Anolis sagrei: one gene and its partner. The protein of the gene in region 2 binds, or shares a complex with, the protein of the main gene of each other region. Links are inferred from orthologs where the notes say so. Each region holds a gene or a part of one and is shown on either strand. Other genes may lie near its edges.

The links. The genes of interacting proteins can lie anywhere in the genome.
Region 1: the proteins of CRHR1 (region 2) and CRH are in contact, whole or in part, in a cryo-EM structure (PDB 6P9X), measured with the Homo sapiens proteins. The link is inferred for Anolis sagrei from reciprocal best matches to the Homo sapiens genes CRHR1 and CRH. Residues at the interface, in NP_004373.2 of Homo sapiens: Lys113, Tyr116, His117, Ala119, Val120, Asn123, Trp169, Val172, Gln173, Met176, Ser177, Pro178, His181, Thr192, Tyr195, Asn196, His199, Phe203, Phe260, Gly261, Lys262, Tyr267, Tyr272, Gln273, Met276, Ile277, Leu280, Tyr327, Phe330, Phe331; in NP_000747.1 of Homo sapiens: Glu156, Pro157, Pro158, Ile159, Ser160, Leu161, Asp162, Leu163, Thr164, Phe165, His166, Leu167, Leu168, Arg169, Glu170, Leu172, Met174, Arg176.

The regions. Positions count from the first base shown.
Region 1 is NC_090024.1:45,606,884-45,614,288, forward strand, and holds the start of CRH (corticoliberin), read left to right. Parts: upstream 1-4,386; 5' UTR 4,387-4,721; intron 4,722-7,405. UniProt on the Homo sapiens protein: Hormone regulating the release of corticotropin from pituitary gland. Induces NLRP6 in intestinal epithelial cells, hence may influence gut microbiota profile.
Region 2 is NC_090026.1:38,132,453-38,140,027, forward strand, and holds the start of CRHR1 (corticotropin-releasing factor receptor 1), read right to left. Parts: upstream 3,019-7,575; 5' UTR 2,898-3,018; coding exon 2,862-2,897; intron 1-2,861.

The sequences.
Region 1 (7,405 bases), on a different chromosome or scaffold from region 2:
ACTGGACTCATCGTCGACATTTAAAGCTCCAGTGTCAGTGGTCGTCTGACTTGGCCACACCGGTCCATACGTTAGTTACATCTGAGAATTGACTACTGTAATGCACTTTACGCGGAGCTGCCTTTGAAGACAGTTCGGAAACTGCAGTTAGTACAAAGGTTGGCTGCCAAATTACTAACTGGAGCTAGCTATAGGGAGCATACTATGTCCCTACTCAAGCAGCTCCACTGGCTTCCAACAATTTTCTGGACTCAATTCGAAATGCAGATTATTACCTACAAAGCCCTATATGCTTTAGGCCTAATCTATCTTTGAGACTGCATCTCTTTCTATGAACTGGTGCAGGCTTTGAGATCAGGAGGAGAGGCCCTTCTCTTGGTTCCACCATCATCTCGAGTGCGATTGGCGAGGATGAAAGAGAGGGCCTTCTCTGTAGTGGCTACCTGGCTCTGGAATACCCTCTCAAAAGAGATTAGGTTAGTCCCCACCCATGACTCCTCCTGATCCAGCCTAAAAACATTGATTTTTAAGCAGGGTTTTGGCCTCGAATAGGCTGAAATGGGCCCATATGAGGTTGACACTTAGACACTTTAGTTGTGATTTGAGGGCAGCTAGTTTTAACTACATGTGGTTTACATTTTAAACTGTATTTTCATTTTATTTGCTGTGTTAATAGTGGCTGTCTTTATAACTTTTATTTGATATTGTTTTTATACTCATGTAGTGCCTTCTAAGCTTCCTTGATACCCTTTTGGAAGATGGTGGCAGGATATAAATAAAGTTTATTATTATATATTATCTACAGAGCAGTTTGACACCAATGTAATTGCCACGACTTCATGTTGTAGAATTCTGGGAGTTGTACTTTGGTGAGATACCAGCACTCTTTAATGGAGGAGGTTAAAAGAACTTATAAAACTACAGCTCCCAGGATTCCATAGCATTGAGCCATTTGATTTAAAGTGGTGTCAAGACTTTCTGTATATATTTCAGATTTCAATACTAGATGTACCCATAGTTTTTGTCTTTCCCTACTTTTTGAGGCCTACTACGTTGCCTATTATTACTCTTAACTAGAGTAAACCTATTCAGTTGTTAAATGGTGAATCAACCCATAGAGAAACCCCACTGAAAAAATAGATCTTCCTGCAATCGGTATTTAGGGTTCAGGCCATAGTTTCACTTCTGTCAGTCAAAGGATGTGTCCGCACTACACAGCTGCAGTGCTTTAATATAATCTTAACTGTCACGGCTATCCATGGGTTTGCAATTAGGTACATAGAGCTCCAAATTCTCTGTCCAGGTGCTGAAGAGCTTCATCAAATCATAGAATAATAGAGTTGGAAGAGACCATGTGGGCCATCTAGTCTAACCCCCTGCCATGGAGGAAACCAAATTCCAAATCCTAGGATTTCCCAGGAAGGCACCATGTCAATTAAAAAGGATGCAACAGCTATAACACGTGTCAAACTCAAGGCCCGTGGGCCCAATCCAGCCCACCATGTAATTTTATGTTGCCCTTCAGATGCTGGACTGATGTGTATTGATCAAGAATTCCTGTATTCTTGTTCAATAGACATCATACCTAGAGCTGATGGGAGTTGCCATACAGGAACATCTGGAAGGCTGCAGTTTTGAGTAAGAACAGTGGAGTTCAAATTTAGATAGAAGGCCTGTGGACAGAGGCGGCCCTAGGTAATTTTCAATAGTAAGCAAACAGTATCCCCCCCCCCCAACCAATCACTGATATATATTTTCTGTTTGTCATGGGAATTCTGTGTGCCATATTTGGTTCAATTCCATCATTGGTGGAGTTCAGAATGCTCTTTGATTGTAGGTGAACTATACATCCCAGTAACTACAACTCGCATATGTCAAGGTCTATTTTCCCCCAAGAGCACCTCAAGAGCACCCCTGGGCAAAATCAACTATACTGCAAATGCTTACTTTGCGTAATGGGTTGAGCCGCCCGTGCCTGTGGATAAAATGTCTGACGTTAAAATTTCCTTTAAACTTTCTCCAACCTCACAGCTGCAAATGGTGTTGAGCTGTAATTCCCATCATCCCCAGTACACATGGCAGATAATAAAAAGTGATGGGTGTTGTCATTCAGTGTGCGTGTCAGGGGCAACTTGAGAAACTGCAAGTCACTTCTGGTGTGAGAGAATTGGCCGTCTGCAAGGATGTTGCTCAGGGGACGCCCGGATGTTTTCATGTTTTATCATCCTTGTGGGAGGCTTCTCTTGTGTCCCCATGTGGGGGTGCTGGAGCTGACAGAGGGAGCTCATCCATGCTCCCTAGATTTGTATCTCCAACATGTTGGTCCTCAGTCCTGCTGGCATAAGGATTTAACCTACTGTGCCAGTGAGGGCTCAATAACATCTGGGGAACCAAACTGGGTTAAAAAATGACAGCAAAATGTAAAGATCTTGAAAAACAATAACTCCCATGATTCCATATCACTGAGCAATGGCAGTTCAAATGGTGCCTCAATTCTACAGTGTGGACTTACTCTTCAATGGCCTTATAGACCAAACTGGGACTGGGAATAAACAACACAACTGAGACCTAAGAATAAGGAACCAACTTCACAAATTGGATGGGTTGCTCCTACTAGGGATCCAAGTATGTCAACTCATTTTTTCAGTGCTTCAGAAAGTTACTCTTTGGATTACCAGAATCCACCAATCAGTCTGCCGCCAGTGGCCATGCACACTACAAGTGCACTTTTCCTCTTGTAGTTTGTTTTTAACAGTAACTTTCCAAATTCTGCTCTTTCCCCATTCTGGCATCCCACAGGAAATGCTGGGTGGGGTATTGGATGCTGAGGAAGCCATTCATCTGCATTAAGTAGTCTGGAGCCATAAAAAGAAAGGCCATCGATCAGTCTGCGCTGGTCGACTTTTCACCTGCCAGAGATATCGATGGTCCTGGGTTTCCATCCAGAGGCCCCTGAATGGAAAGAGTCGGGTGGCAAGGATGGCAGAGAGAGAAGAGGGAGGGGGGTTAGATTTTGGAAGGGACCCACAAACATGACCCATGAACTCCAATCCCTGAGATTGTTCACATGTTTAGGTCTCCCTATAGATTGAACCTACATAATTGAGAGCACAAGATACCTTGGGAAGGAAATAAAAAACCCAAACAATACAAGGCAAGGGTTGCTGTGAGTTTTCTGGGCTGTATGGCCATGTTCCAGAAGCCTTCTCTCCTGACGTTTCACCCACATCTGTGGCAGGCAACCTCAGAGATTGTGAGGTCTGTTGGAAACTAGGCAAGTGGGATTTATATATTTGTTGAATGTCCAGGATGGGAGAAAGAACTCTTGTCTGCTTGAGGCAGGTGTGAATGTTGCAATTGGCCACCTTGATTAGCATTGAATGACCTTGCAGCTTCAAAGCCTGGCTGGTTGCTGCCCGGAGGAATCCTCTGTTGGGAAGTTTATTTATCGTGTCAGGAGCGAACCAAAACAGTTGTATTGCATTAAAAACAAACAAACAAAACACAAAGTTTGCAGACTAGGTATTCTATTAAATGTCCTTTGACCAGTAGCTGCCCACTTGGAGTGCCTCTGATGTTGCTGCAAGAAGGTCCTCCATTGTGCACGTGGCAGGGCTCAGGTTGCATTGCAGTGTTGGGAAGTGTTACAAGGCAAATCAAACCCACAAGGGGGAAAGAGAAATTGGGAACCAGGGGGCCCTCCATATCCATGGATTCTGTACCCACGAATTCAACTATCCATAGCTTGGAATTCCCCCCCCCCCCCCAAATTCAGAGCTTGATTCTGCCATTTTTATATAAGGTGCACCATTTTACTCCCTCGTTATATATAATGGCACTGGAGCACCCATGGATTTTAGTTCCTGGAACCAAACCTCAGCACACCCAAGGAAAGGGCCTGAGGCTGTTAGGAATGGTGGGAGTTGAAGTCCAAAACACCTGGAGGACCCAAGTTTGAGTAGGCCTAGTGTAGACGCATCTGTTGCTTCTACTAGTCCTACTTTCTTTCTCAATGAGTCACAATGATCCTCGGTCCAGTTACCAGAATTCAGGAGGAAGTTTACTTCCTATGTAGGGACTTTGGAAAAGTTGGGGAAAGGTGTTTTTTCTCTCCTATGGAAAGACAGGACCTTCTCCTTGGAGGAAACTCTACTTTCCTCCCTATGGAAAGTTTTGGGTCGCCTTGACTTTGCCGAGCAAGAGGGGTCCCTTGAGGCCACCCGCGCGCCCCCTCTTCCCCGCTCTCCTTCATTCAAGGGTTTTTATCAATGGGAAGAAGAGTGTCCTGTCACTCTTCCCCGTCCGCCTCCCCCCTCCCCTCTTTCGGGGCTGGGCTGACGTCACCGACGAGGCGATAAATATCTGTTGATATAATTGGACGTGAGATTCCGGGGTTGCGATCGCAGGACGTTGCCCGCCGCCGCCGCCGCCTGCTCCGGAGCGGCCCCCATGATTTATTCAGCAAGCGAGCTGTCAAGCCAGCGTCAGCTTTTTAGGCGAAGGCTGCGTGATCCCCCGACGGGGTCCCACCTATAAAGACCCGGCAGACCCGGCTCCCGTTAGGAAGCCCTCGCTCGGGTCCCCGGGACGCCAGCAGAAGCGCTCCCAGACGGAGAAGGGGGCAAGCAGGCAGCCCGCCCCAAGGCAAGGCAAGGCAAGGCAGGGAGGGCAAGGCAGGCGGGTCCCCACCGCTGGCCGCTTCCAGTCTCCGAGTCTCGAAGGTAAGGAAGAAGGGGAGAGCGGGAGGGAGCCCGGGAAACCTGGCCAACTTTGCCCTGGAAGGAGAGAGGGGCGTGGGAATGGGATTCGGGAGAAGAGGAGGAAGGAGAGTTGGGAGAAGGGTGTGTGCGGATGGGGTTGGAGCCTGGTTGAGGTGTGAGGGAGCTCATAGGGATGCCTGTGTGGGGCAGAAGGAAAGGAAGTCCTCATGAAGGAAGGAGCTAAGGGAAGAGAGACCTTTCTCTATCCGGCAATAGAGACCATGGTAGCAAGAGAGACCATCACCTATAACAACAATGTAGACCATTAGAGCAACATAGGGCATTCGCTATAGCAATAAAACTATTATCTATAGCAATATTGATCAATATTGATCATTATAGCAATACCAACTATTAGCTATAGCAATATTGATCATTATAACAATACCATTATCTATAGCAACATTGATAATTAGAACATTACCAACTATTAGCTATGGCAATATCGATCATTATAACAATACCTACTATTAGCTATACCAGTACTGATCATTATATCAATACTAACTATTATCTATAGCAGTATTGATCATTATAGCAATATCAACTATTATCTATAGCAAAATTGATTATTATAGCAATACCAACTATTAGCTATGGCAATATTGGTTATTATAGCAATGTGTACTATTAGATATATTAATATAGACTATTTTAGCAATATAAAGCATTAGCTATAGCAATACACACCATTAGCCGTAACATTATGGCAATATGAATCATTTAGTTCTTGTGGGTTTTTTCGGGCTATATGGCCATGTTCTGATGATGCTTGCCATAGATGCAGGCGAAACGTCAGGAGAAATGCCTCTAGAACATGGCCATATAGCCCGAAAAAACCCACAAGAACTGAGTGATTCCGGCCATGAAAGCCTTCGACAATACATTGAACATCTCTACGGGGAGAAACTGTTCCAAGACACACGGAAATTGGAGAAACTAAGGACCAGGAAAGCACATCTACTGTGCTCCCTGACTTTCCTTCTACGCTGCAGAGACACAGATACCATCCCACAATTCCTCGCAGCCAAAAGGACTTTCAAAACACCACAGGCTCACCGGATCTATGACCGCCTGGAACGCAACCTCTTAAGAGAGAGAATCCACACCATCCGCAAAGAACTCGCAAACACAGACAAGGAACTGCTGCATCTCCATATCAATATCAGCCAGAAGATGAATTCCCAGGACTGGGACAAAATAGACAATCTCACTTACAGGAAAATGGAGAAGAACATGGTTGTCCACACCAACAGACAAAAACAAAAATTCCACAAACGACAAAAGCAACAACCGAAACCAGAACTGGATACATCACGGACCATCATCAACCTGACAGACAGACAACTCTCTGAAGACCAAGTATCCATACTAGCGAAAGGAGGAAACTTTGCTGTAACCGCGACCAGGATCCCAGTAGAAAACATCATTGCCAATGTCGAATCAGCAATTTACCGCCTACCAGAGGAGGAAGCAGAAGAAGTACGAGCGGAAGCAGCAAGGATCCTGAAAAAGGCAAAACTCCCCTCCAGTAACATTACTAGGAAGGAAAGAGAAGCCATTCGAGACCTAAATTCAGATCCTGATATCCTCATTCTGCCAGCAGACAAGGGGAATGCCACAGTCATCATGCATACGGAGCAATACAAGGAGAAGATCAGAAAACTCCTGGACCCTACTATATACAAAAAACTCAAGCAAGACCCAACTGCCAAAATAACCAGGAAAACCAACACCCTGATTAAGAACTCCTCAATAAACTTTGACATACGACAGCAGCTATGTAAATCGGAAGCCCATCCACCCAGGCTTTATGGACTCCCAAAAATCCATAAGGACTCCACCCCACTCAGACCCATCGTGAGTGCCATTGGATCCCCCACATACGACCTAGCAAAATTTCTTGCTGCACAGTTACAAAGCCATATTGGGCTCACTACACACTACATCAAGGACTCAGCCCACTTCATAGAAAAAATCAGCAATCTCAAGCTAAATACAAACGACAAACTGATCAGCTTCGATGTGGTATCTCTATTTACCATGGTCCCGGTAGCAGACACCATGGCACTCATCAACCAGAGGTTCCCAGAAGACATCACGGCTCTGTTTCACCATTGCCTCACCACCAGTTACTTTCAGTGGGACAATGAATTCTACGAACAGAAAGATGGAGTAGCTATGGGGAGCCCTCTCAGCCCAGTCATAGCTAACTTCTACATGGAACACTTTGAAGAACAAGCCCTGGAGACAGCAACCAAAAAGCCCACGATATGGTTCAGATATGTGGATGACACCTTCACCATTTGGAGCCATGGAGATGAAGAACTCAACAGGTTCCTGGACCATCTTAACAGCATCCACCCAAACATCCAGTTCACCATGGAAAAAGAAAATGAAGGAAGACTGCCTTTTCTAGATGTCCTAGTCATCCGCAAACCAGATCAACAATTGGGTCACACCGTCTACAGAAAACCCACACACACAGATAGATATCTACATAAAAACTCCAACCATCACCCAAGTCAAAAAAGAAGCACCATCAAAGCCTTGGCAGACCGTGCAAAAAGAATCTGCGAACCCCACCTCCTCCAAGATGAACTGAACCACCTCAACTGGGCTCTCCAGGCCAATGGATATTCCAT
Region 2 (7,575 bases):
AAAAGTGTGATCTAACCAAAGTAGAATGTTGCTCAGAGCTTGTCTTGCCTTGAAGATATACAGAGCTTATCTTGCCTTAGCACACCGTTTCTCAACCTAGGGGTCAGGACCCCTGGAGGGGTCGCCGGGGGGGGGGGTGTCAGAGGGGTCACCAAAGACCTCCAGAAAACAGTATTTTCTGTTGGTCATGCAGGTTCTGTGTGGGAAGTTCGGCCCAATTCTATCACTTGTGGGGTTCAGAATGCCCTTTGATTGTAGGTGAACAGTAAATCCTAGTAACTACGACTCCCAAATGTCAAGGTCTATTTTCCCCAAATTCCACCACTATTCACATTTGGGCATATTGAGTATCTGTGCCAAGTTTGATACAAATTTGGTCCAGATCCATCATTGTTTTGAGTCCACAGTGCTCTCTGGATGTAGGTGAACTACAACTCCAAAACTCAAGATCAATGCCCACCAAACCCTTCCAGTATTTTCTGTTGGTTGTGGGAGTTCTGTGTGTCAAGTTTGGCTCAATTCTATCATTGGTGGAGTTCAGAATGCTCTTTGATTGTAGGTGAACTATAAATCCCAGCAACTAAATCTCCCAAATGACAAAATAACCCCTCCCCCCCCAAAAAAAAAATCCCACCAGTATTGGGCGTATCGGGTATTTGTGCCAAATTTGGTCTAGTGAATGAAAATACATCCTACAAATCAGATATTTACATTACGCTTCATAACAGCAGCAAAATTACAGTTGTGATGTAGTCATGAAAATAATGTTTATGTATGGGGTCACCACAACATGAGGAACTGTATTAAGGGGTCGTGGCATTAGGAAGGTTGGGAACCACAGCCTTAGCAGATACACTTACATAGGAAAGCATTCCTGTCAGGGGTGCTTTGAATGTGATTTTCCTGCTTCTTGTCAGGAGGTTGGACTGGATGGCCCACAAGGTCTCTTCCAACTGTTATGATTCTATTCCTGGAGGCCAACCTTCTTCCAAGCTTTCAGGACACGGCAATAAAGCAGCAATAGGAAAGATTACCAGGCCAATTAGATTTGACGCTGATGACCAGGACGGTTTTCAATGATGTATTTTAATATTGAGATAAATGTTTTTAATGTTTATGTATGCGTATATGAATTCTTGTCCCGGCATTGAATGTTTGCCGTATATATGCTGTGCTCCGTCCTGAGTCCCCTTCGGGGTGAGAAGGGCAGAATATAAATAAAACAAACAAACAAACAAACAAACTAGGGGTTCTGATCCTCCAGGACCACACCCTGCTTTAAACCATATTTTACACATTGACTGCACTTGAGCTGTAAAGAACGTGGCCACAACCCCAAATTCAAACAAAAGCTGGTGGTGTTGTGGCTTATGTGGTGGATTGGCACTTGGGAGTTCCAGGTTCTACTTTCCATTGAGCCATGAATGGAAGTAGAATGAATGGAATGGGTGACCTTGACCTAACCTGCCTCACAGGATTGTTGTTGCAACGATTAAATAGAGAGGAAGGATAGTCATCCTTGCTGTCTCGACTTCTGGAAAGAAATGCTAAGTAACATAAATACATTTGACCATTTGTAGCTCTTTGTCTGGACAGAACCAAGCCTTAGGTAAAGGTAAAGGTAAAAGTAAAGGTAAAGGTTTTCCCCTGATATGACGTCCAGTCATGTCCGACTCTGAGGTGTGGTGCTCATCTCCATTCCTAAGCCGAAGAGCCGGTGTTGTCCATAGACACCTCCAAGGTCATTTGGCCAGCATTACTTCATGGAGCGCCGTTACCTTTCTGTCGGAGCGGTATCTACTGATCTACTCACATGTTTCCAAACTGCTAAGTTGGCAGAAGCTGGGGCTGACTGTGGAAGCTCACCCCGCTTCCCGGATTCAAACCTGTGACCTTTTGGGCAACAAGCTTAGCAGCCCAGCGCTTTAACCCACTGCGCCACCGGCCTTACACATATACAAAACGCACAAGAACATCATTTGCTCTACTATAACATCATTTCCAGCCTCAGAAGCTAAACTACACCTTCACACCCACAATATATACACACTTAATGGGGATGCTGATCTGGGTTTCTGATGAAGCACACAACCAGAGTTAAGGTCCCGGTGGCGCAGTGTGTTAAACCGCTGAGCTGCTGAGCTTGTTGACCAAAAGGTTGCAGGTTCAAATCCAGGGAGCGGCGTGAGCTTCCACTGTCAGCCCCAGCTTCTGCCAACCTAGCAGTTTGAAAACATGCAAATGTGAGTAGATCAATAGCGGGAGGGTAATGGCATGCCATGCAGGCATGACCTTGGAGGTGTCTATGGACAACACTGGCTCTTTGGCTTGGGAATGGAGATGAGCACCACACCCCAGAGTCGGACACAGCTGGACTTAATGTCAGGGGAAAACCAACAAAAATGGGAATGCTGGTTTCTGATGAAGCACAGGACCAGAGTAGTTGCTGCTAGTTAATTCATCCGGATTAGCTGCCTCTGCAGTGAACTCTGGACTTCTCCCTCCTCTGCTTCCTCACTCCTACAAAGGGAGCTGTAGTACTGACCAGAAAGCTGGCAAAGGAGCCCCAGTTTCGTGACATTTTTGAGAAAATGAGTGTCCCCCGGTTTCCTTGGGAAGTCGCCTAGATCTCAGTTTGCATAGAAGATGGCAGGAGACAAAATAGAAACAAGGGAGTATAAGAAGGATGGAAGGGTTGGAGGCGAGAGGACACAAAGAAAAGAGGGGGGTTTGGGATGGATCGGGACACTATCAACTCATTCCACCCCCGGTTTGAAAGTTGGGGGCAAAGATCCGGCATGGGTCTCGCCCTCGACCCCCTTCTCAGCCTTGGCATCCCAAAAGCCAGGTCGGGCTCTTACCTGCAGCAAGCCCTTCCGGGCATCCAATGCATCCATGCCTGGGCTGCACCTCCTCCTCCTCTTTCTCTCTGTCCAAGCGGCGTTGGGAGCTTCTGCAGCATCCAGGCTCAACTACACAGCCACCAGCCGCGGCGGAAGAGTCTCCTCCCCCCGGCCCGCCCCCACCTGCCTTCACATGCTCTCCATTCCGTGGGGAGAGTCTTCCACAGACCCCAAGCTCCCCACACACGGCCACTCACTTCCCCCACAGTGCAAGCCAAACCCTTCCCGTTTGCTTTGGAACAATGCGCATCTTGTCCACACACAGGAATGTGCACCTAAGTCAACCCTTTCCAGGCTCACCTGGGCTAGATGTTGCCCTAAAGCAGTGTTTCTCAACCTGGGGATCAGGACCCCTGTGGGGGTCGCAAGGGGGTGTCAGAGGGGTCACCAAAGACAATCAGAAAACACAATATTTTTTGTTGGTCATGAGGGTTCTCTGTGAGAAGTTTGGTCCAATTCTATCGTTTATTATTTATTTATTTATTTATTATTTGCACTTGTTAACCGCCACTCTCAGCCCTAGGGCGACTCGTGGCGGTGTACACAACATAGAGAAACAACAATTTACAATGAATCAAGACCACAACATAACATCTTACTAATACAAAACAACTAATTAAACTAAAAATCCGCATCGTCTTGTTTTGGGGTCATAATCCGTCTCGTAGTCGTAGTCCATTCCGGTAGTCATTCCAATACCATAGCACTCGTTGGTGAGGTTCATAATGGTCTTTGATTGTTGTTGTTGTTGTTCATTCGTTCAGTCGTCTCCGACTCTTCATGACCTCATAGACCAGTCCACACCAGAGCTCCCTGTCGGCCGTCACCACCCCCAGCTCCTTCAAGGTCAGTCCAGTCACTTCAAGGATGCCATCCATCCATCTTGCCCTTGGTCGGCCCCTCTTCCTTTTGCCTTCCACTTTCCCCAGCATAATTGTCTTCTCTAGGCTTTGCTGTCTCCTCATGATGTGGCCAAAGTACTTCAACTTTGTCTCTAGTATCCTTCCCTCCAGTGAGCAGCCGGGCTTTATTTCCTGGAGGATGGACTGGTTGGATCTTCTCGCAGTCCAAGGCACTCTCAGCACTTTCCTCCAGCACCACAGTTCAAAAGCATCGATTTTCCTTCGCTCAGCCTTCCCTATAGTCCAGCTCTCACATCTGTAGGTTACTACAGGGAATACCATGGCTTTGACGAGGCGGATCTTTGTTGCCAGTCTGATGTCTCTACTCTTTACTATTTTATCGAGACTGGACATTGCTCTCCTCCCAAGAAGTAAGCATCTTCTGATGAACTATAAATCCCAGCAACTTCAACTCCGAAATGCCAAGGTCTATTTTCCCCAAACTTCACCAGTGTTCACATTTGGGCATCTTGAGTATTCGTGCCAAGTTTGGTCTAGATCCCGCATAGATTACTGCAACGTGCTCTACGTGGGGTTGCCTTTGAAGACGGCCCGGAAGCTTCAAATGGTCCAGTGTGCAGCAGCCAGGTTGCTAACAGGAGCGGCGCTCAGGGAGCACACAACTCCTCTGCTGCATCAGCTCCCCTGGCTGCCAGTTTGCTACCGGGCCAAATTCAAAGTGCTGGCTTTAGCCTATAAAGTCCTAAACAGTTCTGGCCCAGCCTACCTATCCGAACGCATCTCTTCCTACGAACCCTCCAGGAAGTTAAGGTCATCTGAGGAGGCCCTGCTCTCGATCCCGTCTACTTTGCAAGCACGCTTGGTGGGGACGAGAGACAGGGCCTTCTCTGTGGTGGCCCCTTGGCTGTGGAACTCCCTGCCTAGGGATATTAGATCAGCCCCCTCCCTCCTGACCTTTCGTAAGAGAGTGAAAACCTGGCTCTTCGAGCAGGCATTCGGAACCCCAGAATAGTCAAGCTTGAGATGGAGAATGACCCAGGAACGGCCAAGACGACGAAACGGATGAGGATTGGAATGAGAGGAAATAGCTCTTTTTAAATTGTTATTGCACTGTCTTTTTTGTCTAAATGCACCTAATTTGAAATGGTTAGGACCAGAAGTGTAAAGATATGACCACCTCATGCACGTCAAAGGGTTTTCTGAACCAGCTTTTCTAATTCCTTTCTTTGAAAGATACGAGTATTCCTTGACAGTCTCCCATAAGTAGGTGCATTTAGGTTGACTATCCCTTGTGACAGATTGGGTATTCTTTATTACAGGTTGGGTGTCCTTATTCAAAATGCTTAGGACCAAAAGTGGTGGTCCTCAAGAATTTCAAAGGGTTTTCTTAGGTGGTTTTGCTAGTTTTTGCTTTTGTATTGTATTGATGGCATCGAATTGTGCCGATATGTAGACCGCCCTGAGTCGCCTGCAGGCTGATATGGGCGGGATATAAGTGATGTAAATAAATAAATAAATAAAAAGTTCTATCCTTGTTTGAGTCCACAGTGCTCTCTGGGATGTAGGTGAACTACAATGCCCACACTCAAGGACAATGGTGATTGGGCATTCGGATAACGTAGCCAGTCCAGCGGAGTTGATGGAGGAGGAGAATAGCTTCAGTGCTGGTGGTCATTGCTTCTTCCAGTATGCTGACATTTGTCCGACTCTCTTCCCAAGAGATTTGCAGGATTTTTCAAAGGCAACGCTGATGGAATAATTCCAGAAGTTGAGTGTGACATCTGTAGACAGTCCACGTTTTGCAGGCATATAGCAGGGTTGAGAGGAGAATAGCTTTATAAACAAGTACCTTGGTATCTCTATGGATGTCCACACACAGGATTCTGCACCTAGACAACCTTTTCCAGGCTCACTTGGGCTAGATGTTCTAAAGGAGCTGGGAGGGTCAGCTCGCCTTGGGTTAAGGTGGCTCTCTGTGTGCCTTCAAGTCCACTATGGATGGATGGCCACGCCATCCATTTCAAAGGGCTTTCTGAACTGGTTTTGCTACCAGCATACCTTTATTTATTTATTGCAGTTGCTTATACCCCGCCCTTCTCACCTGGGGGGACTCAGGGCGGCTTACACACACAAGGCACAATTCGATGCCTGTATTACAAAAACATAATATCAAAAACATAACATCAGTAACAACAGTAATTATAACACTGATAACAATTAACGTAAACAATCAATATTATCGGCAGTAATAGCCATAAACCCGTAAAAACAATTAAAACAATAAAAACAATACAAACCTCATTGCTGGTCAGTGTTTAACCGACTCATAGTTAGGTTCTACTTTCCACACATTGTTGGTCCTATCATTCTGGTTCCATGTCTAATTGTCAGGGTGCCCAAAGGCCTGGTCCCAGAGCCAGGTCTTTACCTTCCTCCTGAAGGCAAGGAGGGAAGTTGAAGCCCTGATTTCCCCCGGGAGTGAGTTCCACAGATGGGGGGCCACCACTGAGAAGGCCCTGCTCCTCGTCCCCACCAGCCTCACTTGTGATAGCGGTGGGGTCGTGAGCAGGGCCTCCCCAGATGATCTCAGATTCCGAGATGGGATGTAGAGGGAGATACGTTCGGACAGATATGCTGGACCGGAACCGTAAAGGGTTTTGTAGGTCAAAACCAGCATCTTGAATTGTGCTCGGAACTGAATCGGCAGCCAGTGGAGCTGACATAACAGGGGGGTGGTGTGTTCCCTCTATGTCGCTCCAGTAAGCAGTCTAGCTGCCGCTCGTTGGACCAGTTGAAGTTTCCGAACAGTCTTCAAGGGCAACCCCACGTAGAGTGCGTTGCAGTAGTCTATACGGGATGTGACAAGAGCGTGGACCACTGTGGCCAGATCAGTCTTCCCGAGGTACGGGCGCAACTGGTGCACAAGTTTTAGTTGCGCAAAAGCTCTCCCGGCCACCGCTGAGACCTGGGGTTCCAGGCTCAGCGATGAGTCCAGGATCACTCCCAAGCTGCGAACCTGCGACTTCAGGGGGAGTGTAACCCCATCCAGTACAGGCTGTAACCCTATACCTTGACAGTCTTCCACCCAGATACTAAGTAGGGCTGGCCCTCCTTAGTTTGCAAGATCAGACAGGGTCAGGTCTCCCATCCAGATGCTAACTAGGTGCATTTAGCAGGCATGGGCAAACTTCGGCCCATGCCTGCAAACTTTGGGACTTCAACTCCCAAAAATCTCAGCCAGTTTACCAGCTGTTAGGAATTGTGGGAATTGAAACCCAAAAACATCAGGAGGGTCCTTGCCCATCAATGAATTAGAGTGTTTAGGATGAGTATCCCTTAGTACAGGTTAGGTATCATCCCTTATTTGAAATGGTAGGACCAGAAGTGTAAAGATATTACCACCTCATGCATGTCAAAGGGTTTTCTGAACCAGCTTTTCTAATTCCTTTCTTTGAAAGATACGAGTATTCCTTGACAGTCTCCCATAAGTAGGTGCATTTAGGTTGACTATCCCTTATGACAGATTGGGTATTCTTTATTACAGGTTGGGTGTCTTTATTCAAAACGCTTAGGACCAGAAGTGGAGGCTTGTGGTGGCCTCATGAATTTCAATGGATTTTCTTAGATGGTTTTGCTAGTTCCTTCCTCTGGTATGTGCTGGTATTCCTTGGCAGTCTCCCATATAGATAGTAATGAGGGCTGGCCCTCCTTAGCTTTCAAGATCAGTCAGGTTATTTGGGTTGGTTATCACTTATTACAGGTTGAATGTCCCTTATTGAAATGCTTATGACCAGAATTGTGGACTTGTG